Linked DNA regions of Mus musculus: all the other regions are reported to be linked to region 2. The links are microRNA targets in miRTarBase. Many come from high-throughput screens and were not tested one by one. Region 2 holds a microRNA gene; each other region holds the end of a gene's coding sequence.
The links. The annotated mature microRNA mmu-miR-21a-5p reads UAGCUUAUCAGACUGAUGUUGA and lies in region 2 at 1,036-1,057, shown strand. An mRNA with a match to its seed (bases 2 to 7 or 8) in the 3' UTR can be bound and repressed. Matches are read on the target gene's strand: a 7mer-m8 pairs with bases 2 to 8, a 7mer-A1 pairs with bases 2 to 7 and ends in A, and an 8mer does both.

Region 1 (3,136 bases), not on the chromosome of region 2:
GCGGGAACAGCATGGCGAGCGGGGTTGGGGTGGGCGCCGGCCTGGGTGCGGGCGTGAACCAGCGCATGGACAGCTACGCGCACATGAACGGCTGGAGCAACGGCAGCTACAGCATGATGCAGGAGCAGCTGGGCTACCCGCAGCACCCGGGCCTCAACGCTCACGGCGCGGCACAGATGCAACCGATGCACCGCTACGACGTCAGCGCCCTGCAGTACAACTCCATGACCAGCTCGCAGACCTACATGAACGGCTCGCCCACCTACAGCATGTCCTACTCGCAGCAGGGCACCCCCGGTATGGCGCTGGGCTCCATGGGCTCTGTGGTCAAGTCCGAGGCCAGCTCCAGCCCCCCCGTGGTTACCTCTTCCTCCCACTCCAGGGCGCCCTGCCAGGCCGGGGACCTCCGGGACATGATCAGCATGTACCTCCCCGGCGCCGAGGTGCCGGAGCCCGCTGCGCCCAGTAGACTGCACATGGCCCAGCACTACCAGAGCGGCCCGGTGCCCGGCACGGCCATTAACGGCACACTGCCCCTGTCGCACATGTGAGGGCTGGACTGCGAACTGGAGAAGGGGAGAGATTTTCAAAGAGATACAAGGGAATTGGGAGGGGTGCAAAAAGAGGAGAGTAGGAAAAATCTGATAATGCTCAAAAGGAAAAAAAATCTCCGCAGCGAAACGACAGCTGCGGAAAAAAACCACCAATCCCATCCAAATTAACGCAAAAACCGTGATGCCGACTAGAAAACTTTTATGAGAGATCTTGGGACTTCTTTTTGGGGGACTATTTTTGTACAGAGAAAACCTGAGGGCGGCGGGGAGGGCGGGGGAATCGGACCATGTATAGATCTGGAGGAAAAAAACTACGCAAAACTTTTTTTTAAAGTTCTAGTGGTACGTTAGGCGCTTCGCAGGGAGTTCGCAAAAGTCTTTACCAGTAATATTTAGAGCTAGACTCCGGGCGATGAAAAAAAAGTTTTAATATTTGCAAGCAACTTTTGTACAGTATTTATCGAGATAAACATGGCAATCAAATGTCCATTGTTTATAAGCTGAGAATTTGCCAATATTTTTCGAGGAAAGGGTTCTTGCTGGGTTTTGATTCTGCAGCTTAAATTTAGGACCGTTACAAACAAGGAAGGAGTTTATTCGGATTTGAACATTTTAGTTTTAAAATTGTACAAAAGGAAAACATGAGAGCAAGTACTGGCAAGACCGTTTTCGTGGTCTTGTTTAAGGCAAACGTTCTAGATTGTACTAAATTTTTAACTTACTGTTAAAGGCAAAAAAAAAATGTCCATGCAGGTTGATATCGTTGGTAATTTATAATAGCTTTTGTTCAATCCTACCCTTTCATTTTGTTCACATAAAAAATATGGAATTACTGTGTTTGAAATATTTTCTTATGGTTTGTAATATTTCTGTAAATTGTGATATTTTAAGGTTTTTCCCCCCTTTTATTTTCCGTAGTTGTATTTTAAAAGATTCGGCTCTGTTATTGGAATCAGGCTGCCGAGAATCCATGTATATATTTGAACTAATACCATCCTTATAACAGCTACATTTTCAACTTAAGTTTTTACTCCATTATGCACAGTTTGAGATAAATAAATTTTTGAAATATGGACACTGAAATTATGCCTGAGTCTTTCATTTCTTTGTGGCTAGCATGCTTATACATAACTTCTTGGGGAACTGGATAACTGTTCAGCCACCAAGATCTTGATGTTACCAGCAATGTCTGTTAGCTTTAACTGCAGAAGAAAAAAATGGCCGAATGATTAATAACGGGGAACTGAAATGCGTTGACATTTCTAGAATAGAAACTAGAAGCATATATTGTAAGTTCACCCCCCTCCTTCCCTGAGCAGCGTGAATAAGCGCGATGTGGGCTTAAGCTCGCTTTAGCACTTGTTGCCAGAACGAGTCAATTCTGAAAATTTTCGTGTAGCTTAGCAGATGAGATACTGCGCCAAATCAGAACCAGGTTGGCTGGGTTGGTTTTCATTTTCTTCACAACACAATGGCCCTTTGAAATGTGGTTTATAGGGGAAAATGATGCTTCTTGTATCGGAATAATTACAAAGTAGACGCGCCGAGCGTTCTGCGGGGTAGGTGGTTGGGTGACTCCTAGCTCTGTCTGCTATTGTGTGAGGAAACAAGTGGTTTTCTGTCTTTGTTTCCTGACTTCATAAACTTTGTCCTCTACGTTTTCCTGTTTGGGGTGAGGGAAAAGAGAAGAGCGGCTTGCAAAATTCCCTTAATTATCATGGACTTTTTATTTATTTATTCCCCCCCCCTTTCTCCCCCACCCCCCCCCCCACTCCGGATTCCACTTCTTAATTTGGCAGCGCGGGTCCAAGCCTGTAGTCCCAAATCGGAAAATCTCTGCAGCTGGTACACGCAAAAGAGAAGCCAGGCAACAGACATATTACAGAAGAAAGCTCTCAACTCCGAGGTAGATATTTCGCATTGTGCGCTCTCATCACATTTGGACATGATTGTGCTTTTGATCTGTTAACTGTTTTACTACAGTAGTAGAGAGAGGGGGAGGAGAGAGGGTGGGGAAAGGAGATTGGATTTGCTGTTTTCTTTTGCTCCAGGAAAAGTAAGAGGCTGGCGACGTCCTCGGTTGGAGCGGAAAAGTTGGGGGAACCGCCGTGGTCTTTAAGTTCAACCAGCGGCTCTAGCGTAGCCGAGGAAGTCGCTGGCCCGCTTTGCTTTTTTTTTTTTTTTTTTTTTTTTTTTTTTTTTTTTTTTTAATTGGCTCCTGGTTTCGGTCATCTTCTATCCAAAGGCACCAAGAACCAGAAATGGGGCGTCCTTGTGAGTTCTGCATTGCTTCTTATTTCTAGAGCGTCCACTAGCTGCATCTCTGCAGAAGTTAGGATCCCGGGGCGCTTTCTGCCCTTCAGCCGAGTACCGGCCGCCGCCAGTTCTCTCAGCCTCTAGGCCTGTGTCGCCTCTTTTGCAAGAAAGTAATTTCTTTCTTAAAGAGCTACTAATAATGTTCTTTGGAGGATTATGAAGGTCCTGTTTTCTGTGTTTATATTTCTTCTCGGTCTTTTCATTTCAGGTGTAGAGTTGGTTGTTTGATTCTTTATTTTCGTTTTTAGGGTAAGGTACTGGGAAGG
Region 2 (3,136 bases):
AGTCCATATGTTACACTGACATACTTTATTTGTTAAGGTAAGGTGTCTACACCCTCAGTTCAATCCACGTCGTATTCTTTAGGGTGGATGTGATGTTCTGCTGCAAACTTAACAAAAACTGGCCTTCTGATACCTTCACAGGGCCACACAGAACCTTCTGAAGTATGTTAAATATGTCAGGCTTTTTAGGCTTGTCACAAATGATTGTTTTTTTCTAAGTCACCAAATGTATATAAGTTATATATATTGGATAGCAATCTTGCATGTCTATCATGGAACAATTTAATATGCCTTCCTTTCCCACCCTCAAAAAGGCCATTTTATGACGCATTGCACACCCTCTGGGGAAATTGATCTTTAAATTTTGAAACAGTATAAGGAAAATCTGGTTGGTGTCTCACAAATGAGTACGCCATTTTTTATTCTGTATATTTAGAATGAAGTCGTGAAAAACTTTATAAAGACATCTTTGATCATTCCGAAATTGTGTCCGTTTTCTTTAGTGCTATGGTTTTTTGTTTCTTTTTCACTTCTACAAAGCGAGTGGCAGCCTTGCCAATTAGACTTAAACCAGAATTGCCCAGGCTTTTATGTATTGCCTGAGAGAGCTACCTCCAAGGTGTTTTGTTGTTGGGCTGGAGATCTAAGCGGGACTATGAGGTTCACCTAGAGTGGGAATCTCTTACTTTATAAAAACAAGAAGTGGTGATGTATAAATCAGAGGACACTAGCAAGAAAGGCTTTTTCATGTTCATGTTAGTTTTAGCTGTTTGTACTCCGGCTTTAACAGGTGGAAGCTTACTTCTCTGTGTGATTTCTGTGTTTTATTTCAATGTGATTTTCCTTTGACATTTTTTTGATTGACCCTGTTCATTTTGTTTTGCCTGGTAGGAAAATAAACAGCTTTCTTTCCTAGAATTGGCATTAAGCCCCAGCAAACCAGAGATGTTTGCTTTGCTTTAAACCCTGCCTGAGCACCTCGTGCTTGCCCCCTGTCGTGGTCGTGACATCGCATGGCTGTACCACCTTGTCGGATAGCTTATCAGACTGATGTTGACTGTTGAATCTCATGGCAACAGCAGTCGATGGGCTGTCTGACATTTTGGTATCTTTCATCTGACCATCCATATCAAATGTTTTCATTCAAACATTACCCAGCATCATGGTTTGCAGTCAAAAATTGTGGTCCTTATGTCTTGTGAGACTTGGAGCCCTTATACCTTGGTACAACAGCAGCAGTATCAAGAGAAAACTTCCTAGGAAATTGGGGTAGTCGTCACAGTCATAACTAAATAAATAAAAATGAAAAGTCACCTTGCCTCATGGATTTTGGAAAGGTTGTCCTTTGTTGGCTTTTGGTTGGCTGGTTGGTTTATGTTTTTTTCTTTACAGGGACTAACAATTTGTTACCTGGCCATACTTGAAAAGCAATGCCCAAATTAACAATGAAATTTTTATTTGTTTGTTTGTTTGCTTGTTTATTTACTTATTTATTTTGAGATAAGACTTCACTATGGAGACCAGGCTAGTCTTGGACTCATAAGAGATCAACACACCCTCGCCTCCCAAGTGCTAGAATTAACTTCGTATGCACCGTGCTGCCAGGCTTAGACTAGTATAATTCATATGTTAGCTAGCTAGCATCAGAATTCCCACCTTACTTTGCAATTGTTTCATCTCTTTGCCTCACTATTTTATTTTGTGTTTATTTGAAGAAAGAAGATGTTAAGTGTGAATTATATTAAGTCTTTGGGATTTATTTATAAAACTTGCTTCAGGATAGAATATTTAAGGAAAAAAAAAATGGTTTCCTAAGCTAAAAGTCTAGGAGACTAATCAAGCCCTAAACTCTGTTCATTTGTCCTGGATTCCCGCTGAAGCAGTGAGATATCTCTTCTGTCCCATGGTTGCCTGGTTTCATTAACCACTATCATAAATATATAGTTATATGTCTCCAAAGATACTACTACTTAAGTCTAGCTAGTAGGAGCCCAGAAAGTTTGCAAGTGGATGGTTTGATATTCCTGAAACTTGGAGAGAGCTCGGGCCTTCTGACTCCATCTCATAAGTCTTATTTTGTTCCTCTGCACTCCAGCTGCATGCCCCATCTGCAGTTTATTCAATCAGACACTGCCATGGAATGGGTCTGGAATCTTATGTACACATAATCTGGAGTGTGGGGCTCTGAAGAAGGATACTTCCATTTATTTGGATGCTGAACATATAGTTCAGTGGTTCTCAACCTGTGGGTCATGGCCCCTTAGCAGTCCTCTGTCTCCTAAAATACATTATGATTCATAACAGTAGCAAAATTACAGTTATGAAGTAGCAATGAAAATAACCTCGTGGTTGGGGGATCACCGCAACATGGGGAACCGTATTCAAGGGTCACAGCGTTAGGAAGGTTGAGGACCACTGGCCTTGTCCCATCCTCCTGACAAGCTAGAAAAAAAGAAGACTGCAAATGGTGTATTTTTCGCCTGCTAAGTGTAGAAGCACCTCCTGTGGTGAGCATTCCTTAACCTCCTCCTGACTCCAGCATGCTCTGCTGTCTGTAGCATAAAGACAGTATGAGATTCCTGTCACCCACCAAACACAAAACCTGCGTTAAGCTTAATAAGTTGCTGTGGTAAATGTTCCTATAACTCCAGTTTTGTTTCATTATTTTGCTTGTCTGTATGTTTTGAGACAGGGTCTGTCTGTGTAGCCCTAGTTGTCTTGGGACTCCCCGTGTAGACCAGCTTAGCCTCTGACTCAGAGTTCTGCCTGCCTCTGCCTCCAAAGTGCCTGAACTAATCACACCTAGCCTTAACTTCAGGTTTTTAGACTGATATGTTTTTTAGTTGCGTGTATCTGTGTGGGGGTATGTGCACATGTATTACAGTGTCAGAACACGGCATTGCATGGGAGCTGGAATTACAGGTGGGGCGTGTTAGGAGCTAAACCCAGGGCTTCCACATGAGCAGGGTTTGCTCCCACCTGCTTGCCATCTCTCCACTCCTGTCTTCAGTTTTTAAATCATCAAAGATGATCTTAGACACATGCAGAAACGTCATAATGTAGCAAGTGCACCAGAAACTTATCGCAGGTTCTCCACTTCAAACCTAGGCTTTTAGCGCTGCCGCTAGCAGGAGCT
Region 3 (3,136 bases), not on the chromosome of region 2:
GTGGATGAGGAGTTAGAATCAATATTTGGAAGCTATTTATGTAGTTATTTTTATTTTGGCTGTTTGAGACAGTCTCATTGTGTAGCTAGCCTTGGTTGGCCTGGAACCAATCTAACCTAAAACTGATAAAGACCAGCTGCTTCTGCCTTCTGCTTGAACTAAAGGCATGTGCTCTACTCCAGCCTCATGTTTTTCTACAGTGCTAAATAATAAGCCCTATTGATTGGATTTTATTTAGAGTAATTGCTTTTCTCTTTCTATAAATTCCAACTATTTTTTCATGTAATTTACAGTGATGTACCAAATGGATCAGCCTTGACACAAGAGAATCTCAGCCTCCTATCAAACAAGACCAGCTCTTTGAATCTGTCAGAAGACTCTGAGGGAGGAGGAGATAACAATGATTCCCAGAGATCAGGAGTTGTTTCCAATTCTGCTCCCTAGAATATGGGCACCTGCTTCTACCTTCTGCTCCTAATCAGTTCATGGGGCATAGGGATAGAAAAATGGATAACTTCTAAACTTTTTCTCTGAGTGGTCAGTGAAGTCCAGGAAAAGCACCGGAGGCAATGTGCACAAACACCACTACTAAACAAACCTGCACATAGTTCACATTGATGCATTTTTTTAATTTTAAGAAAAAAAAATTAGCAGTATCTGCAAGCAATTCAGATTAAATTTGTTTTTGTTCTGTGAATGAACTTTATTTTAATAACTTTGGACGCCTTGGATCCGGGGCTTTAAAAAAAAAGAAGATATTATATATACACTCTGTTTGATTAATTGTATGATCTTAATGAAGTAGGTTTTTCTTGTATTTTGGTATTATTACATACCCAGTGTATAATTCCTTTTCCCCAGTCCTTTCCAACTCTCACAACCCTGTAAACTAAAATAGACAAAAATGCACCGTTTCCAAGAATTCTGTGGTAATAGATTGGGTTATTAGAAACTGTGCAGCAAACTAATTTTATTAGAGCTATTCTTTAACCCCAGCCCTGTTTCTGGATCACTAGCTCTGTGGATAGATACTTGTTTTTTACAACATTAAAAGTTTATTTGAGTGGATATGGTTTTAGTTTCAACTTTTCAGAGATGTCAACATGCAGTTGATTGTTTGAGCCACATTTTGGTGTCAAGCATTCCTTGCATTATCTCCTTAAAATCTGAAAGCCTATTTAGTGTTTACAATGTTTAGTTAGATTTAAATGAAGATTATTTTATTTTAAGAATGAACTCTGAATTGGATATAATGGCTCATTCCTGTAATCCCTGGCCTCAAGATGTTGAGGCAGGAAAAAACAGAATAAGAAGAAAAGAAATGAACTTCAGCTTGTTAATAGTGAAAATAGGCATTTCCTGTTCTCCTATGTGGAGCTCATGTTGGAAAATTCGAGCTGTGTTTACAAATTAAACTTGTCTTGAAACCCTAGAATAGAAAAACCAGGACAGTGAACCATACTCTAAAGCTGGGAGCCGGCTCAGCAGAAGAGCACCGGCTGCTCTCCCGGGTTCTTGGCAGCACCTGCAGGGTGTCTCCCAGTTCCACTTTCAGGGACATGACACCCTTTTCTGGCCCTTGTGGACACCAGACACAATGAAGAAAATTTTTTAATTAAAATAAAACTTAACACTCGATAGGAGCTTCAGTAAACAAGGACATATTATTTCAATGGAATTTTTGTTTTCCTTTCAAAAGCGTTAAAGATTTGGCAGATAGAAACTGACTGAGTCTTCAGGGTAGTTCATGCTTTGGTCACTTGTCAGTAATCAGAATTACTAGAATAACTATAAATAACTTGAAGTGAGTTTTTATAGACCTGGCTTTCTGACATTAAAAATGTTTATGAAAAAGTTGAAGAGTGAGGAAGAATTTTTATTTAGTTCTGCTGCACATATTCTAATGCTAACCACTGTTTGCTTAATTTACTAAGCCCCTCTAAAATGAGTTCAGCAAGGCAATGTTTCGTAGAATCACTCCATCCCTCTGATTGCCTGACGTCAGTTTCCCTTTCTAGATGATGCTACAAAACAAGAAAGCACTGGTTATGTAATAAGTTACTGCATTGCTTTGGTTGGGTAAAAGCAAACGTTTATATTTTTCTTATTTCTATTTCCTGAACCCTTAACTCTGCTGAGGTCTGCGTCACCTCAGTCTAAGCTCTGTGTCCATCATCTTGTTAATTGAAACAAGTGGGTGGGGGTGGGATAAGAGTGGGAGGGGTGGGAAGGGAAAAATAGTCCTGCCATTGCCTACCAGTAGGAAATCCAAACAGAACACTCATTTGAGTAGCGATTATTTAATTTGCCCAGTCAAGGCACCGTGTTTATATACTATTTCACATTGAATTTGATTATGCCCTACAGACCTGGCTGGTCAAGGATTTGATATACACATATTGGCTTGGGATTCGAGCTTTCTTTTTTATTTAAATAAAAATTTATATATATATTATATATATACATATATACATGGCTATATCTGTATATATATCGGGTATGTTTTAAAGATTTCTTCGCATGAGCGCAGCTGTTGCAATAAGATGACTGATTGGGAGGTAGAGGCACCGAATGACGGTGAGGCATTTCTCAGTTGATGCATACATTTTCCTTTTAATTTTAAATACACATTTGTACATTTGCTTTTTTTGGACTTTTTTTTTTAAGATAAAATGACTCTTACATTTATACTTTACTCATTATTTATTGAGATGAGGAGAGAAATGTTATGCCTGACAGGATTTTTATTTTTCTGCATATCTATAAAACGCCACATTATTGGCCTCTTGCCTTCAGTAGACAGATTTGGGTGGGTCTTACCTCCTTTGGACATTTCAAGATAATTCCTAAGTCTTAGAAGCAGATGGGTTTTTGTTGTTGTTGTTTTTAAAATTGGAATAACTAGGGGGAAATCTGCATATTGGTTTTCTTGGAGTTAAGAATAAAAGTAAATTTTCATTGTAGTGTGTATGAGACCCCCAAAATGTACTCTGCTGCGGTGCACTAGTATCCTTTTAGGTATATTTTTATTTAGGGAGAAAATTAGTCTTTTAAATGGTAGTATGAGTTCCCCAAGCCCCTCTCTATAGCCAGTCTGGGTTGGGTAGAAAGTGAAAGACTGTGCCTACAATTTTGC
Region 4 (3,136 bases), not on the chromosome of region 2:
AATACAGAACTCATTCTAATTGTTCATTTTCATCTTAAACTTTCTTTCTCTAGGTGAAACTATACTTTACAAAAACAGTAGAGGAGCCATCAAATCCAGAGGCTAGCAGTTCAACTTCTGTGACTCCAGATGTTAGTGACAATGAACCTGATCATTATAGATATTCTGACACCACTGACTCTGATCCAGAGAATGAACCTTTTGATGAAGATCAGCATTCACAAATTACAAAAGTCTGATTTTTTTTTTCTTATCAAGAGGGATAAAATACCATGAAAAAAAAAAAACTTGAATAAACTGAAATGGACCTTTTTTTTTTTTTTTTTTTTTTAAATGGCAATAGGACATTGTGTCAGATTGCAGTTATAGGAACAATTCTCTTCTCCTGACCAATCTTGTTTTACCCTATACATCCACAGGGTTTTGACACTTGTTGTCCAGTTAAAAAAAGGTTGTGTAGCTGTGTCATGTATATACCTTTTTGTGTCAAAAGGACATTTAAAATTCAATTAGGATAAATAAAAGATGGCACTTTCCCATTTTATTCCAGTTTTATAAAAAGTGGAGACAGGCTGATGTGTATACGCAGGAGTTTTTCCTTTATTTTCTGTCACCAGCTGAAGTGGCTGAAGAGCTCTGATTCCCGGGTTCACGTCCTACCCCTTTGCACTTGTGGCAACAGATAAGTTTGCAGTTGGCTAAGGAAGTTTCTGCAGGGTTTTGTTAGATTCTAATGCATGCACTTGGGTTGGGAATGGAGGGAATGCTCAGAAAGGAATGTTTCTACCTGGGCTCTGGACCATACACCATCTCCAGCTCCTTAGATGCACCTTTCTTTAGCATGCTCCACTTACTAATCTGGACATCCGAGAGATTGGCTGCTGTCCTGCTGTTTGTTTGTGCATTTTAAAGAGCATATTGGTGCTAGACAAGGCAGCTAGAGTGAGTATATTTGTAGTGGGGTACAGGAATGAACCATCTACAGCATCTTAAGAATCCACAAAGGAAGGGATATAAAAAAAGTGGTCATAGATAGATAAAAGACACAGCAGCAATGACTTAACCATACAAATGTGGAGGCTTTCAACAAAGGATGGGCTGGAAACAGAAAATTTGACAATGATTTATTCAGTATGCTTTCTCAGTTGTAATGACTGCTCCATCTCCTATGTAATCAAGGCCAGTGCTAAGAGTCAGATGCTATTAGTCCCTACATCAGTCAACACCTTACCTTTATTTTTATTAATTTTCAATCATATACCTACTGTGGATGCTTCATGTGCTGGCTGCCAGTTTGTTTTTCTCCTTAAATATTTTATAATTCTTCACAGGAAATTTCAACTTGAGATTCAACAGTAAGCAGGTTTTGTTTTTTTTTTTTCCTAGAGATTGATGATGCGCGTCCTCAGTCCAGTGGCTGTCAGACGTTCAGCCCCTTTGACCTTACACATTCTATTACAATGAGTTTTGCAGTTTTGCACATTTTTTTTAAATGTCATTAACTGTTAGGGAATTTTACTTGAATACTGAATACATATAATGTGTATATTAAAAAAGTCATTGTTTGTGTTAAAAAAGAAATTAGAGTTGCAGTAAATTTACAGCACTGCACGAATAATAAGGCATTGAAGTTTTTCAGTAGAAATTGTCCTACAGATGCTTTATCGACTTGCTATTGGAAGAATAGATCTTCTTAAATGTGCAGTGTTGAGTCACTTCGTTATAGTGGTAGAGTTGGGATTAGGGCTTCAATTTTACTTCTTAAATATCATTCTATGTTTGATATGCCCAGACTGCATACAATTTAAAGCAAGAGTACAACTACTATCGTAATGGTAATGTGAAGATGCTATTACAAAGGATCTCCTCCCAACCCCTCGGGAATTTGGTGTCTTTCAAATTATATCTTGACCTTGACATTTGAATATCCAGCCATTATTAGATTTCTTAATGGTGTGAAGTCCCATTTTCAATAACTTATTGGTGCTGAAATTGTTCACTAGCTGTGGTCTGACCTAGTTAATTTACAAGTACAGATTGCATAGGACCCACTAGAGAAGCATTTATAGTTTGATGGTAAGTAGATTAGGCAGAACGCCATCTAAAATATTCTTAGAAAATAATGTTGATGTATTTTCCATACCTCATCAGTTTCACTCAACCAATAAAGTTTTTAAAATTGTAACAAAGCTCTTAGGATTTACACATTTATATTTAAACATTGATACATGAATATTGACTGACTGTTGATAAAGTCAGAGACAACTTTTCCTGAGATCTCACCATGGAAATCTGTACACCCCCTTGTCTTTCCTAAAAGCTGAAAGTGGCTGACTAAAATGCAAAGCAGCTGTTGATGTTTTGAAGATAGTGATAAACACTGTTCTTTGTTAGTTTTGGGCACAGCATGCTAAACTATAACTTGTATTGTTCCAATATGTAACACAGAGGGCCAGGTCATGAATAATGACATTACAATGGGCTGTTGCACTGTTAATATTTTTCCTTTGGAATGTGAAGGTCTGAATGAGGGTTTTGATTTTGAATGTTTCAGTGTTTTTGAGAAGCCTTGCTTACATTTTATGGTGTAGTCATTGGAAATGGAAAAATGGCATTATATATATATTATATATATATAAATATATATATTATACATACTCTCCTTACTTTATTTCAGTTACCATCCCCATAGAATTTGACAAGAATTGCTATGACTGAAAGGGTTTTGAGTCCTAATTCAAACTTTCTTTATGACAGTATTCACGATTAGCCTGAAGTGCATTCTGTAGGTGATCTCTCCCGTGTTTCTGGAATGCTTTCTTAGACTCTTGGATGTGCAGCAGCTTATGTGTCTGAAATGACTTGAAGGCATCACCTTTAAGAAGGCTTACAGTTGGGCCCCGTACATCCCAAGTCCTCTGTAATTCCTCTTGGACATTTTTGCCATAATTGTAAAAGGGTAGTTGAATTAAATAGCGTCACCATTCTTTGCTGTGGCACAGGTTATAAACTTAAGTGGAGTTTACCGGCAGCATCAAATGTTTCAGCTTTAAAAATAAAAGTAGGTTACAAGTTACATGTTTAGTTTTAGAAAATTTGTGCAATATGTTCATAACGATGGCTGTGGTTGCCACAA
Region 5 (3,136 bases), not on the chromosome of region 2:
TGCTTGGTAGCTTTTACAACAGATGACAATTGACTCATGAAGAGCTTGACAAGGAAAATGCCACCTGGAATTAGAAGCCTGTGTCCAAATGAGAAATCTTAACCCGGGGCTGCAGCAAAACAAGACACGGATTGTGAGATGAAAATGAGGCTCATTTGGCTTCTGGCCATTTCTTCAGTAACAAGTAGGTAGCACATGGCACAGGTCAGTGCTCTGAATTACTTCAGACTATTGGTTGATGGAAGGCACTGAAGGATGAATTTGGGCTTCTCAAGCAGTGGAGATATCAGGCTCTGAAGGACTGAACCCTGACAGCTTCCTAGAAGTTTATTGTTACACAAGAAGGCACCTTCAGCAAGTCCACTTCCACTTAAGAAAACTTATCTCACCTAGGGGTTGTCTTGAAAGACCCTTCACCTCAACGATGCTCAGCCACATGAGACTTCCTGGTTTGCCAGGCATAATTTTGCTAGCCTAAGATACACAAAGGCTCTGAGAATCCTTCAGAAGAATAACCCCATAAAATCTCAAATAACAATCACTGGCAAAAGGCTACTTCCGAAGCCTAGGGGCCATCCCTCCAGACTGAAGTCAGATACAAAGGGTCTGCTCAAATCCTGCTACAAGCACAGGCTTCCTGCTGGAAAGTGCAGTACACTTGCACACAGCTTCCCTGCTAGTCTAGATATGCCTGCAGCACATGTCCTAGGAGGCTGCGCTAAGAGACTCTGGGAATGGTCTTGGCTCCTACCAAGAAGAACCACCACCTGGCTTTGTTGGTTCACCACTGTCAACATACTTCTTGTTCTAAATGTGAGAAAACTACCTTAGTTGGGTTGTAGGTCACTCCCACTCCTACCTCCATTTCCTGATACTTCTTCCTAGAAGGCAGCTCTAAGTTAATTTTCTTATTTTATTCTTTAAACTCCATAGATTTCTTAAAATGGAAAATAGGGGCTGGTATTGTAGCTCAGTGGTAGAGCAAGAGCCTGGTATTCAGAGGCCCTGCATCCTATCCTGGCAACAAACTCTTCTAAAGGAAGCTAATTAATATGGCATTGGCATGTGTAGCTTGAAATCTAGTTTTGTTTGTGGTGCCAGGGATGGGACTCTAGGCAAGAACCCCATCAACTAGTCTAAAAGGAAATTTTAAAAAAGCAACCTGGGATTACTCAAGAGAATTAATAGCCATAAGTCATATTCCTAATTGCAGTTGACATGAGAGCAGAAGCACCCCAAAACCAAAACCACCTCTGACTTCCTGCTGGGCTGGTGCTTACATTCTTGAGGGAGAAAGAATAGAACGGTTGGAAGATTCAGGGTAGGGGGCAGGTATACATAGTATTGGGTCACATGATGACAGGGACATGGGCTAAGGCAAGTATTGACAGGCAATTTGGTTGTTACGTGATCACTGCAGGAGATACTTGCATAAAACCAGATGGTTTATTGCCTTCTAGACATCTAGGATATATGATACACAGACACAGACACAGACACAGACACAGACACAGACACACACACACACACACACACACACAGAGAGAGAGAGAGAGAGAGAGAGAGAGAGAGAGAGAGAGAGAGAGAGAGAAGCTTATTGCTTCCAGGATCATGATGAACAAAAAATGAAATTAAGGGAAGCTGCAAAAGGTAATGGATGTGGTTAAAAGACGTGGTGATCAATAGCTGCTCCCAATATCATCCCACGGTGATTCATACTTTTCTATAAGTAGAAGGAGTAAACTCATAAGCCAGTAAGTTATTAAGTGTCATGTGCTGTACACACTTCTAATTACTGAACTTCACACCACTGGCAGCAAAGGAGGGTTTGTTCACACCACTGTCACATAAGCACGTGAGCAGCGTGTGCTCTAAGAGTCAAGATGGCTGTCACGTCAGCAAGGACCCAGCCTTAGCCTACTAGACATGCTGTGTGCTGAGAATTGCCTTGGAGTCCAGAAGACGGTGAGTGAGTCCCAGATGTCAGGCCCTGTGATTCTGGAGCTACCTTTTTGGACTTTGGTTTTAAGTGTGGTTCTTCCCTTTTGCTGTAAGAAGGTATTCAACCTTGATTTTATAGGAAGTCATGGTTAAGGAAGTTTGGACTTTTAAGAGACACTGAATTTTTACGTAGTGGTGTTCTTAAAAGACGGTGTGACTTTTCAATTTGCACTGTATTTTATATCAACATGAGATCCTGGGGACACACAAAAATTCTGATGGTTCATCTTGGTTATCTGCTGATACACTTGGGCGGAAGAAACCTCAGTTGAGGAACCACCTCCATCAATCTGGCTCCTAAGCATGTCTATGGGGTATTTTCTTGAATGCTGGTTCATCAAGGGGGGTCCAGCCAACAGTGGGCGGTATTAATCCTAAGCAGGTCCTGGGCTATATAAGAAAGCTAGGTGAGCAAGCCGAGTGGCATTCCTCCATGGTCTCTGCTTCAGTTCCTGTCTCTAGGTTCCATCACTGATGATGGACTGCAGTCGGTCCTGTCCTCACAGACGTTGCTCTGGCCAACAGAAAACCAAACTAGAAGAGTTCATCCATGATTAGCACCTAGAACACTCACCAAGTGCTCCACTCCTGCTATTCTCAATCATTCCGGTTTACCCTACTCTCTAGTAAGCAACACTCTGCATTCAACTGAAAAACCAGCTCAGAGCTGATCGTAGGATAAGCAGCCAGTGCACAGGGGCCACGGCACAGGAGGAAGCAAGCCAGAGCTGAGCTGGGAAGCTAATCACTGTAGCAAGTCTGGGTGACATATAACACTTTGTGATGAGGAAACATGACAACAAACAAGCAAGGTGTGACTCTATAAACTTTGCATCTTTTATGGTGGGCAGTCATCATTTGCCCCAACAGCCATCTGAAGCCAATAGTCCTGATTATTGAAAACCACAAAATTGTACAAGTGCTCGCCTCCTTTATGGAAGCCATGTTCCTTCTCTCTCCAGGCAACGGGGCTGTCTGCAAAGCCTTGAACTGTCAAGGTGACCCATGGAGCCAACTTTGGTTCATCGAAGTAGTGACTGAAAAAGAAAGAAAAGAAAGAAAGAAAATTCTTATAAACAAGAGGTCAAGAACATCCACATTGTATCTACTGCTCTAATTAAGCTGAGACTCTATT

Region 1: miRTarBase lists Sox2 as a target of mmu-miR-21a-5p. Seed matches in the 3' UTR shown: 7mer-m8 at 1,050-1,056.
Region 3: miRTarBase lists Rc3h1 as a target of mmu-miR-21a-5p. The part of its 3' UTR that is shown has no 7-base or 8-base seed match.
Region 4: miRTarBase lists Pten as a target of mmu-miR-21a-5p. The part of its 3' UTR that is shown has no 7-base or 8-base seed match.
Region 5: miRTarBase lists Rpp40 as a target of mmu-miR-21a-5p. Seed matches in the 3' UTR shown: 7mer-m8 at 1,592-1,598.

Annotation. Positions count from the first base shown.
Region 1 is chr3:34,650,825-34,653,960 of GRCm38, forward strand. Sox2 (SRY (sex determining region Y)-box 2) reads left to right here. Exons shown (of 1, transcript NM_011443.4): 1 at 1-1,637. The coding sequence ends at 551. It overlaps Sox2ot (SOX2 overlapping transcript (non-protein coding)), which reads left to right. Exons shown (of 5, transcript NR_015580.2): 4 at 2,354-2,460. Among named protein-coding and RNA genes, the nearest start is that of Sox2, 2.4 kb to the left of the region's middle. RefSeq lists an enhancer at 2,891-3,136.
Region 2 is chr11:86,582,041-86,585,176 of GRCm38, reverse strand. It overlaps Mir21a (microRNA 21a), which reads left to right and starts at 1,019; the gene lies at 1,019-1,110. Vmp1 (vacuole membrane protein 1) reads left to right here. Exons shown (of 12, transcript NM_029478.6): 12 at 1-1,319.
Region 3 is chr1:160,967,354-160,970,489 of GRCm38, forward strand. It overlaps Rc3h1 (RING CCCH (C3H) domains 1), which reads left to right. Exons shown (of 20, transcript NM_001024952.2): 20 at 294-3,136. The coding sequence ends at 444. Among named protein-coding and RNA genes, the nearest start is that of Serpinc1, 9.7 kb to the right of the region's middle.
Region 4 is chr19:32,819,790-32,822,925 of GRCm38, forward strand. Pten (phosphatase and tensin homolog) reads left to right here. Exons shown (of 9, transcript NM_008960.2): 9 at 54-3,136. The coding sequence ends at 239. Among named protein-coding and RNA genes, the nearest start is that of Pten, 64 kb to the left of the region's middle.
Region 5 is chr13:35,893,888-35,897,023 of GRCm38, forward strand. Rpp40 (ribonuclease P 40 subunit) reads right to left here. Exons shown (of 8, transcript NM_145938.4): 8 at 1,217-3,038. The coding sequence ends at 2,840. Among named protein-coding and RNA genes, the nearest start is that of Rpp40, 11 kb to the right of the region's middle.